3 linked regions of the Arabidopsis thaliana genome follow. The protein of the gene in region 2 interacts with the protein of the main gene of each other region in a pairwise test. Each region holds a gene or a part of one and is shown on either strand. Other genes may lie near its edges.

The links. The genes of interacting proteins can lie anywhere in the genome.
Region 1: the proteins of p24beta2 (region 2) and AT1G50950 interact in a protein complementation assay, tested with the Arabidopsis thaliana proteins (one large-scale study listed by BioGRID).
Region 3: the proteins of p24beta2 (region 2) and AT1G28610 interact in a protein complementation assay, tested with the Arabidopsis thaliana proteins (one large-scale study listed by BioGRID).

The regions. Positions count from the first base shown.
Region 1 is NC_003070.9:18,878,360-18,884,755, reverse strand, and holds AT1G50950 (protein disulfide-isomerase 5-like protein (DUF1692)), read right to left. Parts: upstream 4,585-6,396; 5' UTR 4,292-4,584; coding exon 4,251-4,291; intron 3,981-4,250; coding exon 3,890-3,980; intron 3,746-3,889; coding exon 3,651-3,745; intron 3,502-3,650; coding exon 3,444-3,501; intron 3,197-3,443; coding exon 3,009-3,196; intron 2,906-3,008; coding exon 2,848-2,905; intron 2,507-2,847; coding exon 2,466-2,506; intron 2,358-2,465; coding exon 2,283-2,357; intron 2,195-2,282; coding exon 2,123-2,194; intron 1,990-2,122; coding exon 1,923-1,989; intron 1,784-1,922; coding exon 1,640-1,783; intron 1,530-1,639; coding exon 1,308-1,529; intron 1,234-1,307; coding exon 1,072-1,233; intron 958-1,071; coding exon 880-957; intron 791-879; coding exon 713-790; 3' UTR 501-712; downstream 1-500. Other genes in the region: ETFALPHA (electron transfer flavoprotein alpha), read left to right, coding at 4,817-4,918, 5,220-5,402, 5,481-5,692, 5,760-5,923, 6,006-6,164, 6,273-6,325.
Region 2 is NC_003074.8:2,453,206-2,457,544, reverse strand, and holds p24beta2 (emp24/gp25L/p24 family/GOLD family protein), read right to left. Parts: upstream 2,307-4,339; 5' UTR 2,077-2,306; intron 1,919-2,076; coding exon 1,721-1,918; intron 1,483-1,720; coding exon 1,296-1,482; intron 1,220-1,295; coding exon 1,112-1,219; intron 1,027-1,111; coding exon 893-1,026; 3' UTR 627-892; downstream 1-626. Other genes in the region: AT3G07690 (6-phosphogluconate dehydrogenase family protein), read right to left, coding at 1-313; AT3G07670 (Rubisco methyltransferase family protein), read right to left, coding at 2,928-3,014, 3,115-3,237, 3,329-3,460, 3,547-3,649, 3,753-3,925, 4,108-4,188, 4,290-4,339. UniProt on the Arabidopsis thaliana protein: Involved in vesicular protein trafficking. Mainly functions in the early secretory pathway but also in post-Golgi membranes.
Region 3 is NC_003070.9:10,052,943-10,057,942, reverse strand, and holds AT1G28610 (GDSL-like Lipase/Acylhydrolase superfamily protein), read left to right. Parts: upstream 1-2,061; 5' UTR 2,062-2,277; coding exon 2,278-2,530; intron 2,531-2,861; coding exon 2,862-3,077; intron 3,078-3,182; coding exon 3,183-3,328; coding exon of another isoform or gene 3,329-3,432; coding exon 3,433-3,709; intron 3,710-3,806; coding exon 3,807-4,066; 3' UTR 4,067-4,500; downstream 4,501-5,000. Other genes in the region: AT1G28600 (GDSL-like Lipase/Acylhydrolase superfamily protein), read left to right, coding at 4,870-5,000.

The sequences.
Region 1 (6,396 bases), on a different chromosome or scaffold from region 2:
AGAGACCTATGCAGAACAATGAGTTCGGTTTTCTCGTGTGTATGGTGTTAACGATCTGTGCCAGAGAGTTTCTGATAGATGGACCCAAAGGGTTGGACCATTCGATCAGACCATCAGCTATACACTGACTCGGTGTAAGTTCCTAATAAACCACTCTACTTGATTCCATACATAACTCTTACAGAGTCATGGTCATGGATAATGCTGTGTTCGTCTACCATCCAAGCCAAGATTAGGTGCTTCAAGAGACGCTTATGATAGCTGCACCACAGATGCATCCAACACTAAATTTACAGATGGACACACATCCCTCATCCTCCCGGAAACACAGTTTCGCCTTGTTTCCTCTGTTTTGTCTTCTGCTCTCATTGTTACTCTGTTTCTTTATCTTTTCAGCTCAGTTGGTAAATTGGCGTATGTGTGTGTTGTTGTTGTTTATTTCTAATTTAAATTATATACACAATTCATATAACTACAAGAACTATGATTTATAAAATAAAGAGTAACCAAAACATTGCGGTTAAATTACAGGCAAAGAATCAAGAAGAAGTCAAGACGCTGCAAAGAAGATTGTTACTCTATTCTCTCTTTCAAACGGCTATTCGAAAATAAACAAGGTCTACAAGTTATATAAGAAATTGAGGTGTCTCTTTATGGTTTTGTAGATCTTAAAAAATTGGAAAAACTAACATCTAACCTCACTTATTCCTGATCAAATGTTTTTCCCGAGTTCGATCTTTTTCACCATTCTAACTGTGTTTTGAAATATAGAATCTAGTATTCCCGCGACCTGAAATCCAACAAGCAAAAATCTTACTTTCTCATGAAGGAATTCAACAGAGAATGAAACAAAGGTAGGCTGTGAGACAAATACTATACCGTAAAAACACCTCCTATTATGGCGCAAACATTTGTGATGAAGTGCGAGAATGACTTTGGGTTCTCGCTTATTAGGACCTGCAAAATACAGAGCAAGGATCAAATGTAAAGTATGAAAAAGGAGAATAGGCAACGAAATTAGTAGCGAGATATATAGTATCTTCTCATCTGTGTAAATTTGCATAGAGATACCTGCATTGGAGAGAGCTCAAAGTGAAACTTTGCTTCAGGATAATGGTAACTACGAGCTACGCTGCTATGAGCCGTATATTCATATTCCTCAATCAATGAGTGTTCTTGGCCGGATCTTCTTGAAATGACCTCTGTTTTGATTATTTGCAAGTAGTGTTCGATCTGTATTGCCAACATATATCATAAGAGAAACCTCGAGTAGGAAAGTACTTCACATGGAAATTTGTGGAACTTACTGTAACATTAGCATCCAATTGTCGTTCATTGATGAACGATTTTCCATTCAGCCTATCATAGCTTTGGCCAAGATAAGGCAGTAATCGTTTCATATCAGTCCACAACCTTTCTGAAACCATTGTACCAAATGTTAGATGGGTAACAATATGAGACATGTTCATTTGAGAAGCATCAAATGAATGAGCTCCTGAATGAGCTGAGATTACAAGTTCGCCGGGAACCTGAGATCAAACAATATAAAAGACAAAATGGCACCATAAGAAAAGAGGAAAGATAAGCAAGAAGAAAAATCATCGGACATCACATAAAATTGGACGTTCGACATTTTTACCTTCTTTGCGCGAACATATCCTTCAATTCGACAACCTCCACTAACTGGTGCCTTTTTAAAAGTTGAAGCCGCATTATCAGATTTACCATCCAAAGCCAACTTATGATCCTCCTTTTTAATAGGTTTGAGCAGTTCTTCCACCATCTGGAATAGTCATGTTATTGTATATGAAAGTTTTTCAAGGAAACACAGTTTCTTATATGAATACACAAAAAGCAGGTATAAGGATGTGATTATTGAATCATATAATCCTAATGGTCGAATCTAACTAAGACCAGTCTACCTTGACTAAGCTATCTGTGTCCCGATCTCCATAGTAAGATTCATGTTCGTGGTTCCCATGGTCCTCCCTGGATAAGATTAGATAACAATTGATCACGAAAAAGGGAATGGAGTTTTACAAAATGCTTAAGTAGATGACAAGAAGAATCATAACTGAAGCTAATCGTAAACTTAAGGAACTAATTTAGCTCATTTTCTCACCTAAGACCACTGCCTCTGCGGAAAATCCGAATAGATGGATAGCCTTGTATATGATTGCTGAAGATTGGTAAACTAAGCTTAAGTCAAACTGAAAAAATCAATCTGAATAATACCATAAAACAACAAAAAATATGGAGGAAAATATCAAGACTGGAAATACCTCTTACATAGGGTAGGTTCTTCTGTGCAATCAACACTTCCTAAAAGAACACGATCATCAGTTCCAGGATTATATCTGCAACATCAGATGTTCCAAAAACAAAGCATCAGCAAAGCGTAACTGGATAATTATTGTTACATCATCAGAAATAATTTTATAACAGAGAGAAAAAAACACACACACCTTTCTCTCGTTATTTGAGATGCTTTCACCCAAGATGGTTTCTGAAAATTTTAGGAGCCAAAACAAAAAAAAAAAGGTAAGAGATAAAGCATGAACATATTTTATTGAGCTAACTTAGGTAATTATCAGACCAACAAAAACTCTCACAACAGTTTGATTCATCTACCAAGAAGATATTATCTGCTAGACTTCATAGCTTGGTTAATTATAATTACAGTCGTATAGGAAACAAAGGCAAATTCTTTCTCATTCGATGAAGCCAACTAAGTTGTGATGAGAACATCTAGAATCTAGTTTCATCAAAAAAATCTAGTAGTTGCATACTAAATGAAAAGTATCTTGAAAATTGACAAGTTTACTATAAGACGCAAAACAGCATTACCAGGCGATTACTCCAGTAGCACCATGGCGCATAAAAATTAACAACCAAAATTTGAAAACTGCATCAAGAAAGTCCAATTTCATTCATTCATCTTTAAGCCCCTTGGACAGGTACTCATATATAGTATAGTATACACAAAATAGATTAAGTTGCCAACTTACTGATGTGTAAACTTCTCAAAAGCAGCACCAGTTAAGGGTATATCCGCATAAGTACTATTGTCACCATGATCTTCGTCTCCATGGTTGATGAGATGTAAATCAGAGGTGGAGTGAAATTCCTCAGCAGTGGCTCTTAAATGCGGATCAATTGGAACTTTTCTAATCGTTTTCGATATATTTAACCTGTGCTGAAGAAGTTTATAACAAAACTTAAACATAGGAAATGACATAATCATTGTCATTGCACAACAAAAGTTAAACATCCTAGCATGAGAACTTATAACATACATTTGCTGTAACAATAAATAATGTCAAAACTTTTGCTTTTTTTTCTTTCCTTTTGTGTTTATAAAACAGCTAAGAGACAATGTATGCACGCAGTGCAAAATGGGATCTTAGAAACAGAAATACTTAGAATTGGAAACCGAAACTTACAGTTCCAAACACGTCACTCACGTCAACTGATGCGAATTCACATGAGAGGGCAGGAAAGCTACAAGAAATAAGTCAAAACCAAACATCAATTTATGAAGACACCGCCACTATTGTAGAGAGATTGAAACACAAACAGACAAAAGAAAAGAACAATGGCATGTTGGCATTGTTTATTATAACCAATACTAACACATGAATTCCATTTACCTGATGTTAAAATCAATGTTTAAGAAGTCCCCATCAGAGCTTTTGTCAACTATTACAGATGTGCTAGTGTTAATAGCCAAATAACTACTCAGCTCCTGAAAGTTAAATAATCAACCAAAATCATTGGATATACGGTATTTTTCACTTACACAGAGGAAGAAGCAAAAGATACAAGAATCAGAAAATATGAGATTGTGAAGAAGAAGAAGAAGAAAACAGGGCAGAGATTAGTTTACTACCATTCCAAACAAAAACAACATAGCAAGGGCAGCTACAATGGATAATCCAGCACCAGAGAGAGATGCTTCAGTCAAATCTCTTGGGATTTTCCTGAAGAAACAAATGGAACTCAAATTACTCTCAGCTCTAACTCCAGACAACACAAACACACAGTTCACAGAGTAATTATCCGTAATCCGATGCACAGTTCATCATCAAGATGAAAAACGAGAAGACAGAACCAATTTCGAATTATCAAAAAGGCAAAATCAAACACATACAGTCGAAAATGTATAGAAAGGTACAAACTTTTGCAAGTGCGTCAAAAACCATTATCGAGAGAATTATCATTGGAATTGTTACACGAAAGAGGGTTCCCACCTGTAGAAATCAACGGACTTGATCTTGGAGGTTGAAACCATGGCTGTAACAAAGAAGAAAGGATTCTAACAAAGAAAAAAACAGATCTTGACAATGAGCTCTCTTTCTCTATCTCTGTATCTAGGATTTTGTTCTTAAAGCCGTCGTGATCCCACTTTGCTTAACTATGGGAACTCTACACGAAAAAGCTCAAAAAGACAGATTTTTTTTTGGCAGGAAGAATTCTAATCCTTTAAAGGTTAGATTTTTATTTTGTTCTCTTTCAGGAATCATCATCGTACCATAAAAATTAGAAAATTAGAATATGGAAGTTGTGAAATCTGTCGAATCTAATCTACTACAAATGGAAATGAAGTAATCAGCTTCGATCTTTGACCATCCTTAAAGTTCAAACAATTATTAATTCCTTTAAAAATGATACAATTAGCTTTATCATAAACGACGTAGTTCCTATAGCAATAAGAAATTGTTATAAACGACGACGTTTGCCATAGTTCGCTTATTTCTTTCTTTTTGCGAGAATTCTGAAATCTGAAGGAGAGAGAAACCAATCAGAAGAGAAAACGATGACGAGAACTGTTCTACTGAGAGCTCTGACGAAGAATAAGTTCGTCGCCTCTAATGCTCCTCGATCTATATCCATTTCCATCACCAGTCTCTCTAGATGCGTATGATCTTTTATCTCCTACCCATTTTCCTTCAGTTCGATCTTTTGTTTTTGCTGGAATCGATCATTCATTTTCGTCGTGACCAAATTCGATTTTTTCATATTAAAAATGAATCGGAAGTGGTAAAGGAGCATTCTTTGTGGTGGTGATTTCAATTTTATCATTCTACTTGGTTTGAAAATTTTCAATTTGTGAAGCTTCTATATATATATATATATTGAGATAATCATTTTGTTGTTGTTATGCTGAGAAATTCACAATAACACTTTTGTGTTGTGTACATTTTTGTTGTTGTATATAGATTAGCACTCTGATTCTAGCAGAACATGAGAGTGGTACAATCAAACCTCAGACAGTGAGTACAGTAGTTGCAGCTAATTCATTAGGTGAGAGCTCTTCAATTTCTTTGTTATTGGCTGGTTCTGGTTCTTCTCTTCAAGAAGCTGCTTCTCAAGCTGCCTCTTGTCATCCTTCTGTTTCCGAGGTAAGCTACAACATTCTCCCTTCTCTTCATTTGCTTTCTTTTGGTTTTGTGGTCTCAGTGTTGGTACTTTTTCTGTAGGTACTTGTTGCTGATTCTGATAAATTTGAGTACTCTTTAGCTGAGCCTTGGGCTAAATTGGTTGACTTTGTTCGGCAACAAGGAGATTACTCACACATTCTTGCTTCCTCTAGTTCATTTGGCAAGAATATATTACCCCGTGTCGCTGCTCTTTTAGATGTTTCTCCTATTACTGATGTTGTCAAAATCTTAGGATCTGACCAGTTTATCAGGTACATTCCAACTCTCTCTCGTTCTCGTTGAACTGTGAACTGAAACCAAGATTTTTATCTGTGTCAGGCCTATTTATGCGGGAAACGCTTTGTGTACAGTTCGTTATACTGGTGCGGGTCCTTGTATGTTGACTATTAGATCTACATCTTTTCCTGTCACCCCGATTACAGCAAACTCAGAGTCAAAGAAAGCTACTGTCTCTCAGATTGATCTCTCAAATTTTGAAGACGGTCCGTTTAGTGTTTCTCTTATGTATTCGTGTTTTCGTCGGTGGTTCTTTTTTGTGAATGGTTTTGCTATTCTTCACTGCAGACTCTGTCAGCAAATCTAGATATGTGGGACGTTCAACTCAGGATACAGAACGGCCTGATCTTGGAAGTGCACGTGTTGTGATCACTGGTGGAAGGGCGTTGAAGAGTGTTGAGAATTTTAAAATGATCGAAAAGCTTGCAGAAAAACTTGGTGGAGCAGGTTAGTTATACATGCTTATCCTAATCACCAGTGAGTGTGGAGAAATTGTTTTATCTCTCAAGTGAATGTGCTTCGAAATGTACGTGTATAACTGTTTCATTTATACAGTGGGCGCTACTCGTGCTGCTGTTGATGCTGGATATGTTCCTAATGATCTTCAGGTAAGATTTGGTGGATCTTCGCTTGATTATTCCTTCCATTTTACGGCTTTAAAACTCAAATAAGAGTTTGT
Region 2 (4,339 bases):
GATAAGCACACCTTCTTATCAACCTCCTCAACAATTCTTCCCTCGAATTAATCACTTCGAACAAATGTTCAGCTGTGGCTTTATCGATTGCTCTGCCTCCTCTTCTCCAGATTCTCACACTAACTTTGCCCCTAAACTTACCGTAATTTTCCTGCAACATTGCAATGAAAACGCTTCCCCAAGCACCAGCTCCTACACCAACGATCCTTAACGGGTCGTCATCAGCTTTACCCATTACTCTACGAATCTCATCAAGCCTTTCTTCCACCAATCTGCTCGGAACTGAATTCGTCTCCACCAAATGATCCATCATCAACAAAGCCTTATGATTTCTCTTTCAGTGACTCAATCCACTAAAAACACAAGCAAGCTATGGAACAAAATCGGACTTCTTGTCGGATTTATCAATGCTTAAAACTGGAGACGACTTTTTCAGGAAAGTTTGTGTTTTTATTTTATTTTCAGGTAACTTGTACGACGACTAAGAAAATGATAGCTGGCTTTATCTATCTACTCTGGGCCCAACTAACTTAGTCTAGTGTCCACTTTTATAACCTTCTCTATAAGAGTTCGAATCCAGTTAAGGGATTTTGAGTACTTTTGACACGTCTTATTCAAAGCTTGATCACATTGTTATTCTCTTTGTTTTAGGGAAAAAAGGTTTTAAGGAATCACTATTTTCTCTATTGAAATGAAAACCTAGCTTGTGGAAAAGTTGTCTGTTAATAAAGAGAAAAAAAAGAATTATCATCACGAGAGGATTAGTTCTTGAACATGGGAGAAAGCAAATCTTCCAATGAACTACGATCTGTCTGTAAAAAGGTTTTAAGTAAAGATTCCCTGGTACATTTTAAGGCAAAATAAGTTCAAAGTCATAATAAACTCGATACTTTTAGACACGAGACATGCCGAGTTTGCGTTCAAACAAGCGACGCAGAAGATAAACTTGGAGAAAACTTGCCCCAATCAGTGCAAACGACTCGAACAAAGCTTTGTGTACTGCTCTTTTGCTCATGTTCTCGTTCACTGCACAAGGAACAACCATATTCAAACCATCACTCAATATTGAAGTGAGAACAACAAATGTGGTTTTTAGAGGAAAAAATGTTACCGATAGCTTGACGATCGGTCTGAGCTTCTAACCAATGTTGTTCAAATTGGATGTTGTAAAGAGCCTCCTCTAACTTTGATATTTGCTCCATCAAGGGAGTGAAATGCTCTGCACAAAAACCATCTTCAGCTAAATACCTCATCACCAAACGAAACTGAAACAAAACTAAACAGATAATCCTTACCGTCCTTTGCGTGTTGATCGTAGTATGCAAAGTGACCAAGCTGTACATCGAAGTCAATGGTTTCATGATAAGGAGACTTGTTTGTGAAACAGAATCTGTAAACCCCTTTTTTTTGGACAACAAAATCATGCTTTGCGCTTATCTGCTCCCTGAAGTCATGAATTTGTTCGCCTGTTGGGCCATGTATCTATTCAAAATGCATCCAAAATATATCAACAACAACAACAACCACCAAATTAACCAGATGGTACAATATAACAGCTTTAAAGAGTAACCAAATTCTTTATCAATACATACTTCAAATTATCTACCAACATTAACAATGGAAATCCTAAGCATTGTTTAGGAATACCAATTCTATTGATTTTCGACGATTTTGCAATGTAGAATGTAGAAAAGTTCAATTAGAAGAAAAAAAGTCATACCACAAGATCTACACCATCCTCGTTAAAATGCCATTGAGAGTCAGACTTGATGACGACGAAAGAGACATGAAGCGTATCACCTTCATATTCAGCCTTGTGGGAGAAACATTCTTCACGGTCTATCACGAATCTAATCCCTAACGTAGCCTGGAAGCTCCATAAGAGCCCTAGTAATACGATCGTACCCTTCAAGCTCATCTGCCACAATAATTTCGAATTATATCAAAGCACAAAACGCAATTCAATCGTTTAGAAGAAGAATCGACTAGAGATTCCAAACCAAACCAAATTGAATTGTTCCAATTTCGATTCCTACGAGGTGATTAGGTTTGACACAGAGAGTGAGAGGGATTTACCTTCTTGAGAAGATCAAATCTGATGATTGATTGATTAGATCGATGGAAACTCGATCTGGTCGATGAGTGTTAAGAAAATTTGAAGATTGATCGGAGTAGAAGACGGTGGAGAGAATTGGATGAGAAAGAGCGAGCTCGTTCAGAATCGGACACGAAGAAGCCTGTTTTGACTCAAGGGGCAGTTTCGTTACCCGACAAGATCATCAAACTATAAACGACGTCGCTTGCTTACTCTTTGGGTTATTTGGTCAGCGGGCTTACGTGGCGTTATATCATTGGAGATAAAACATCTTTAAACCATTTAGATATTGCCACGTCATATTATGTCGAAAATGGAAACTCCATAAAATCAGTACGTTTCATTAGGAAGACTTTATAGGTTTCTCGTTTTTTACTTTGCCACAGTGGAATGTTTACTTGCTTTGCTAAAGAAACAAATGTTCTGACGTGTACCATCAGATTATCTTGTTTGCGGTAACAAGGAGTGTGAGTTTTGGTACGGTTTTCGTTATGAGTTGTAGTCAGATATATTCTTAATTTTCAAATTATCTTTGTTTGTTGGATCGATTATTTCAGTTCGATTCGGATCAAATACGAAGAACATGTTTCTACCCTTACTCTCTCATGCGTTTCCTTAATTAATCAATTTAGGTTCAGGTTTTGAGTTTATAGAAAATGATCAAATTACATATATGGCTGGACCAATATATTCCTATACGAGTGAGACAGATCCAACCATGCCTACACCAACGTTCAATTTTTTTGTAATAAAAAACTACATTTTTGGTTGAAGCACAACGAGGCCTACCTTTGATCCATCTTAAAGCTGTTGAAATGTCCTCATTCAACATTCACTTGAAGAAGTTCCTAAGTCCACTGAAGAGCCGTAGAGCCTTCAGCTCACCACTTCTGATATCTCTCAGTCTCCTCCTCAGAATCTGACCCAAACAAAACAAAAAAAAAAACACAGATTCCACAATATCATGGATCGATCCACAGACTCTTATCTATCGTATTGGCTAGAAAGTTGTTCCTTACGTATTGAGCACGGTACAGTATCCTGCGCTCACTAGTGGACAAGTCTACAGCTAGCTGTTTCAGAAACGCTTTTCGGTTCAACTGTTTTGGAGATGTTATGTCCAAATCCATTGATCCACTTTCCTACAATTAGATAATTGACAAAGCAAACTATAAGCAGATGGAGTGAAAATTTTCCCACAAAGAGAGAGAGATGAGCTGTTTTGTTACTTACCTTTAGAAATCGGCTGTACTTTGATATGCTTGTTTCGCATGAGTCCAGTATGAACTGCAATGCGTCTTCCTCGATTTCAGGATATTTTAGATCATTCTTTGTTGATGTCTTATTTGAAGCAGCTTTCGCCATCTGAAATGGATAATAATTGATAAGAGATGTATTATGAATTTGGGAAGAATTGGATGGTAAAAAGGGTCAAGATGGAGTTGCCAAACCTCTTCAAAGTTGTTTCTCATATCTGGAGGGCTCACCACAAGATAAGCATATGCCATTAGCTCCATTGGCCAACCCGTTATCCTTACGGGAAAGCATTGAGGTCTGCCAGAGAAAAGTTAACACAAACAATCAAAACAAAACTCAAGTTAATCAAGAGAGATCTACAAATTTGAGAGGGGAACATGGATGGTGGAGAATGGAATACGTCGATAATCCGTGTTTCTTTAAAGCATCCAGCTTTTCCTCGTAACACTTATCGTTTTTCCTAAGTGATAATGCTAGTTCTACTGAATCACTAGGATTGGTTCCTTCTCTGGGAACAAACCCATAAGATAACAATAGCTCTCCGTTAGATTTATTCCCATAGGATATGAAAACCTGCACAATGTCATGTTACTGAAACATATCAGAGACTTCAGACAACATTGGTTCCACTTTGGACTGACTTACTGAAGCGCTAAAAGGCAAACTGTGTAAACGGGACTTCTTTGTGTTATACACTGACTTATATTAAACTTCAATGCTCGCTCAGGTTATCTGAATGAATTTATCTTATTTACCTGCTCACCTGGTTGATATGGTCGATCTGTTGTAAAGACAACTCCTTTTGAAGATTTATCATAATCCAGGAACGTCTCAACCTTTCCAAGCAGATTTTGAAATATTGATTACCATAAGTCAATCATGCTTTCTGATTAGGAGAATCTAGGAGCTAATTGGTCATAAAGATAAGTAGAAGTACCTCACAATTATGATTAAGCATATCTGCCCATGGAACTAAGGCAAATCTTC
Region 3 (5,000 bases), on a different chromosome or scaffold from region 2:
GATAAATTACTATATCGGCCTAAAGCATAAGTTTGTGCACAAAAATAAAATTAATAATAATTAACTTGTGACCTAAAAAGCATATAAGTATAACTACTATATTTAGCTTTATGAACCGGCCGGGCCTCCCATCTAATGTCGCCTTCAAAGTTTCATTTGTGGAAGCTCACATGTTTTCTGATCACTGTAGCCACCGAAGTCTTAGGCTCAGAGTCTTTCCAACGTTATAAATCGATCATCAGCTTCGGTGATTCGATTTCGGACACCGGAAACTTTCTTCATCTCTCCGACCCAAATCATCTTCCCCGATGGCCGCCTCATTATCGACTTCATTGGTATGAACTTCTTTTTACACCATCCCATATTCGCAGTTTAAATCAAAACTTCAGAAATATTTTTCAGTTTTTAGTATGAATAATCAAGATTCAACAAGTGTTCAAAAAAAAAAAAAAAAAAAAAAAAATCAAGATCCAATTAGTCAACTTAATTTGACAGCTGAATTCTTGGGGATACCATATATTTCCCCTTACTTTGGACATAATAATCAAAGCTTTGAGAATGGAATCAACTTCGCGGTGGCTGGAGCAACCGCGGTGGAGCCTGAATTGCTTCAAGAGAAAGGAATTACTGCTAATTACATGACTAATGTAAGCTTGATTGTTCAGCTAAGCATCTTCAAGAAAATTTTACCAAACCTCTGTGGCTTTCCTTCAGGTGATTCCTCACAAATCTCAACTCATCTTGGAACACAAGGGACAAGCATAAGCCAATCTTTACTTGTTTTCAAGATTGCAGAGAGATTCTCGAAAACTCGCTGTTTATTGTTGGTGAGATTGGAGGTAATGACTATAACTACGGATTCTTGATTGGAAAAAGCATCCCGGAGATTAAAAAAAATAGTCCCCCTTGTTATCAATGCTATTTGCTCAACAATTGTGGTAATAAAAATCTTTCTTAAATCCTGTTCAATGATCCTTCCCTTTTTCTTGTTTTGTTTGGGAGACTAAGAATTGAACCTTGCAAGCATGAACAACATGGTACAGGAATTGTTCAATTTGGGAGCCAGAACGTTTCTAGTGCCAGGAAAGTTTCCAACTGGATGTTCTGCTGCATATTTAACGAGATTTAGGACAACAGATATGTAGGACTACGATGCTTTAACCGGATGTTTGAAGTGGCCTAATGAGTTTTCTCAGTACCACAATGAGCAGCTTCAGACAGAACTCAATAGACTCCAAAAACTCTATCCCATTGCTACTATCAGATACACTGACTACTACGACATTGTGTTACATTTTTACCTTGAACCGACGAAATATGTTGCCCTTTCTTATTCCGTCCCCTTAACTAACATATATACAGTATTGTCACAATTATTTATATTACCAAATTTACTCTTTTGAAGGATTTATGGAGAGACCTTCACTGTTGATAAGCCATGTGGGTCTAGAGGAGTGAAACATTGTCGAGTTCCTTCTGAGTATGTGACGTGGGACGGTTTTCATTTGACCGAAGCCGCCTACCGATGGATTGCTAAGAGCTTGCTTAATGGACCACTTGCGTCTATTGCTTTGGCCGCTCCTGCATTTTCCTTTTTAAGCTGATCTACGGACATAGATCACTTTCCCTTGAGCACTTGGGACCTGTTGCTGCGAGTAAACTAAAATCACGTTCTTCGTTTAATCACATTGATTGTTTTTTTTTTTTTTTGTTGGTTTCTCTTTACTTTGTTTTCAAATTAATACACAATCTCTTGCTTGTACAACAAGTTTATGGGAGTAAATCTTTAAACTAATTTTTATTTGTTTATAAAAATTTTCTGAATAATTTTCTCTCTAAGAATGTAATTTTTTTTATTTTTTTTGATAAAAATAAATGTTGATATATTAAAATAGCCATACTAGATTATGATTTGCAGTGGAACCCAAGCAAGTATAAATCATGGTAGATAATCCGTAACTAGCTCGTAAATAACCTGCAAATAACTTATCACTCATGAATAACATGAAAATAATCTGTAGATATTTTCTAGAGGTTGGTTAGAACTTAGAAGTCCACCTACCCATCTTAAAACGATACAAATACAAAATTTTCTAGTCCATAAAAAGTTTTGTAGTCTTGGCCCACCATTATTTATAAGGCAACAACAAAATCATTGAGACATATACTCACCAGTCCTTTCTTTTGTTGTTTACGAAAAAACGAAACAAGATGTTTTGTAAAATAATATAACATTCTAAAAGCCGAAAGATAAAAATTTCACCGCGGACTTCTCGTATGGCGTCACTAGATTCTCTAGTGAGCTTCTTTTTATCTACCCTTTTTGTCACAATCGTGAGCTCACAAACGCAGTGCCGGAATCTCGAGTCGATTATCAGTTTCGGTGATTCGATTACCGACACAGGAAACTTGGTTGGTCTCTCGGATCGTAACCATCTTCCTGTGACCGCGTTTCTGCCGTATGGAGAAACCTTCTTCCACCACCCAACTGGCCGTTCCTGCAACGGCCGTATCATCATCGACTTTATCGGTACTTCTCTTTCTATGTAACTTGACATGTAAGTAAGTGACTAGGAATGTAAATCTGATGAAGTATCGAATCATGATCTTATAATTGGTCTCAGTTGGAGTGTTTTAGACGTCTTCAATCTCTGAGAAGAATCCAAAAACACAAAAAAAAACTGATAGTTGCGTTTGAACCTCTGTTTTCTTGTGTGGGCACAGCTTTTCCGATTTATAAAAATCTGGATTTTCTTGATTAGGGTTTCTTATGTAGACTCTTTCTCTGATTTGGTTTTTCTTGATCTGCAAGTTAACAGTAGTATGAGACCTTAAGTGATTCTCCAATTTTCTATTTACAGCTGAATTCTTAGGGTTACCGCATGTGCCTCCTTTTTATGGATCTAAAAATGGAAACTTTGAGAAAGGAGTTAATTTCGCTGTTGCGGGAGCAACGGCACTAGAAACTTCCATTCTTGAGAAGAGAGGAATTTATTATCCTCACAGCAACATCAGTTTGGGAATTCAGCTTAAGACCTTCAAGGAGAGCTTACCAAATCTATGTGGTTCACCTACAGGTACTGAAGATCAACTTTTCCCTTTTCTAGCTAGTGGAGTCATGATTATTACGTTATTGCAGTGAATTGACCTCACTTGTAATGGGTTTAATTCTTTGCTTTTAGATTGTAGAGATATGATTGGAAATGCTTTTATTATCATGGGAGAGATTGGAGGGAATGATTTTAATTTCGCATTCTTTGTGAACAAAACCAGTGAGGTCAAAGAGTTGGTTCCGTTGGTGATCACTAAAATTTCTTCTGCAATTGTGGTAAACATTCTTGATCAGCGAGTCCCTAGAACGAGTAATTTTTTCAAAAAACTGTTATGTTTTTTGTTTTGTTTTTGTGTTTTGGTACTGAATGTTGAATCTAGGAGTTGGTCGATATGGGAGGAAGAACATTCCTAGTTCCTGGAAACTTCCCGCTCGGATGCTCAGCAACGTATTTAACATTATACCAAACATCAAACAAGGAAGAGTATGATCCTCTAACAGGATGTTTGACATGGCTGAACGATTTTTCAGAATACTACAACGAGAAGCTTCAGGCAGAACTCAACAGACTCAGTAAACTTTACCCTCATGTCAACATCATATATGGTGACTACTTTAATGCTCTGTTGCGCCTTTACCAAGAACCATCCAAATTTGGTTAGCTTTCTTGATCCTTAGTTTAATTACCTAAAAACCCAAGTTCATTGATTCAATTTGATAATTGAGTTAATCATTCAATTCATTGTACAACTAGGGTTCATGGACAGACCCTTACCTGCTTGTTGCGGTTTAGGAGGACCGTACAACTTCACCTTAAGTAAAAAATGTGGGAGTGTAGGAGTAAAATATTGTAGTGATCCTTCAAAGTATGTGAATTGGGACGGCGTTCATATGACTGAAGCTGCATACAAATGGATAGCTGATGGATTACTCAAGGGTCCGTATACGATTCCTTCGTTCCATTGGTTATGCCTCGGCTCAAAAATTAAGAGCAAGGAGTCATTAGACACGTAGTGTTCTTTTGACAAACAGCTGAAACAAGCTTGTTGGAGCTCTGAGAGATAATAAGAAAACAAATACGTTCTTAAGTGCTTTCCATGGATATTTTATATCATTGTGTATTGTTGTTTGAGAGAGAGAGAGAGAGTGGTTAAGTGTTAGTAGCTAACTCATGTGATATCTTCAGAGAGATCTTAGATTAGACCGGTCGGAGATGCACTGTTCCAAAAATGGACCACTTCATGAGTGGTAGAAATAACAGAATAGGAGATGATAAAATGGGCAAGGAGTTGAACGGATCAATTTGACTTCTAGTCTTCAATACAAAACCAAACTACTCTTTACAAATCAATATATTAATACGATTTTTATAATAATTTTAATTATAAGACTAAGATTTGTAATTTAGTGGTTTTTGTTATTATCGTAGTTATGTTATTATCCGGTTTCAAATCAGCGTAATACGTGTTATTGACAAATAAATGAAGTGAAATTCAACATCAAATTAAAATATGGGAAAGAACAAATAACCTACAAAATAACTCGTAAATAGCTTGCAAATAAGCCGCAAGTACATATTTTGTAGATGGTGGTTAGAAGTCCAAGTACGCGTTTTATAGATTGGTGGTCACGCCTACCAATACAAAGTCTTGTTGTTATTAGAAAGTTAATTGCTTTATTTATTACAACTAGAAATCCTCGTTTAGTCATGAGTCATCGGTCCATCCCTCCACAATTGGCCTCTATATAACTTTCCCAAAACGAATCATTTGTAAAATAAAAAAAAATAAGATAGAAACTCACTCCTGACCTCTCGCATGGCGTCTCTAGACTCTCTAGTCATCTTTCTTTTTTCTACTCTTTTTGTCACTATCGTGAGCTCGGAAACGCCGTGCCCGAATTTCAAGTCGATCATCAGTTTCGGCGATTCGATTGCGGACACGGGAAA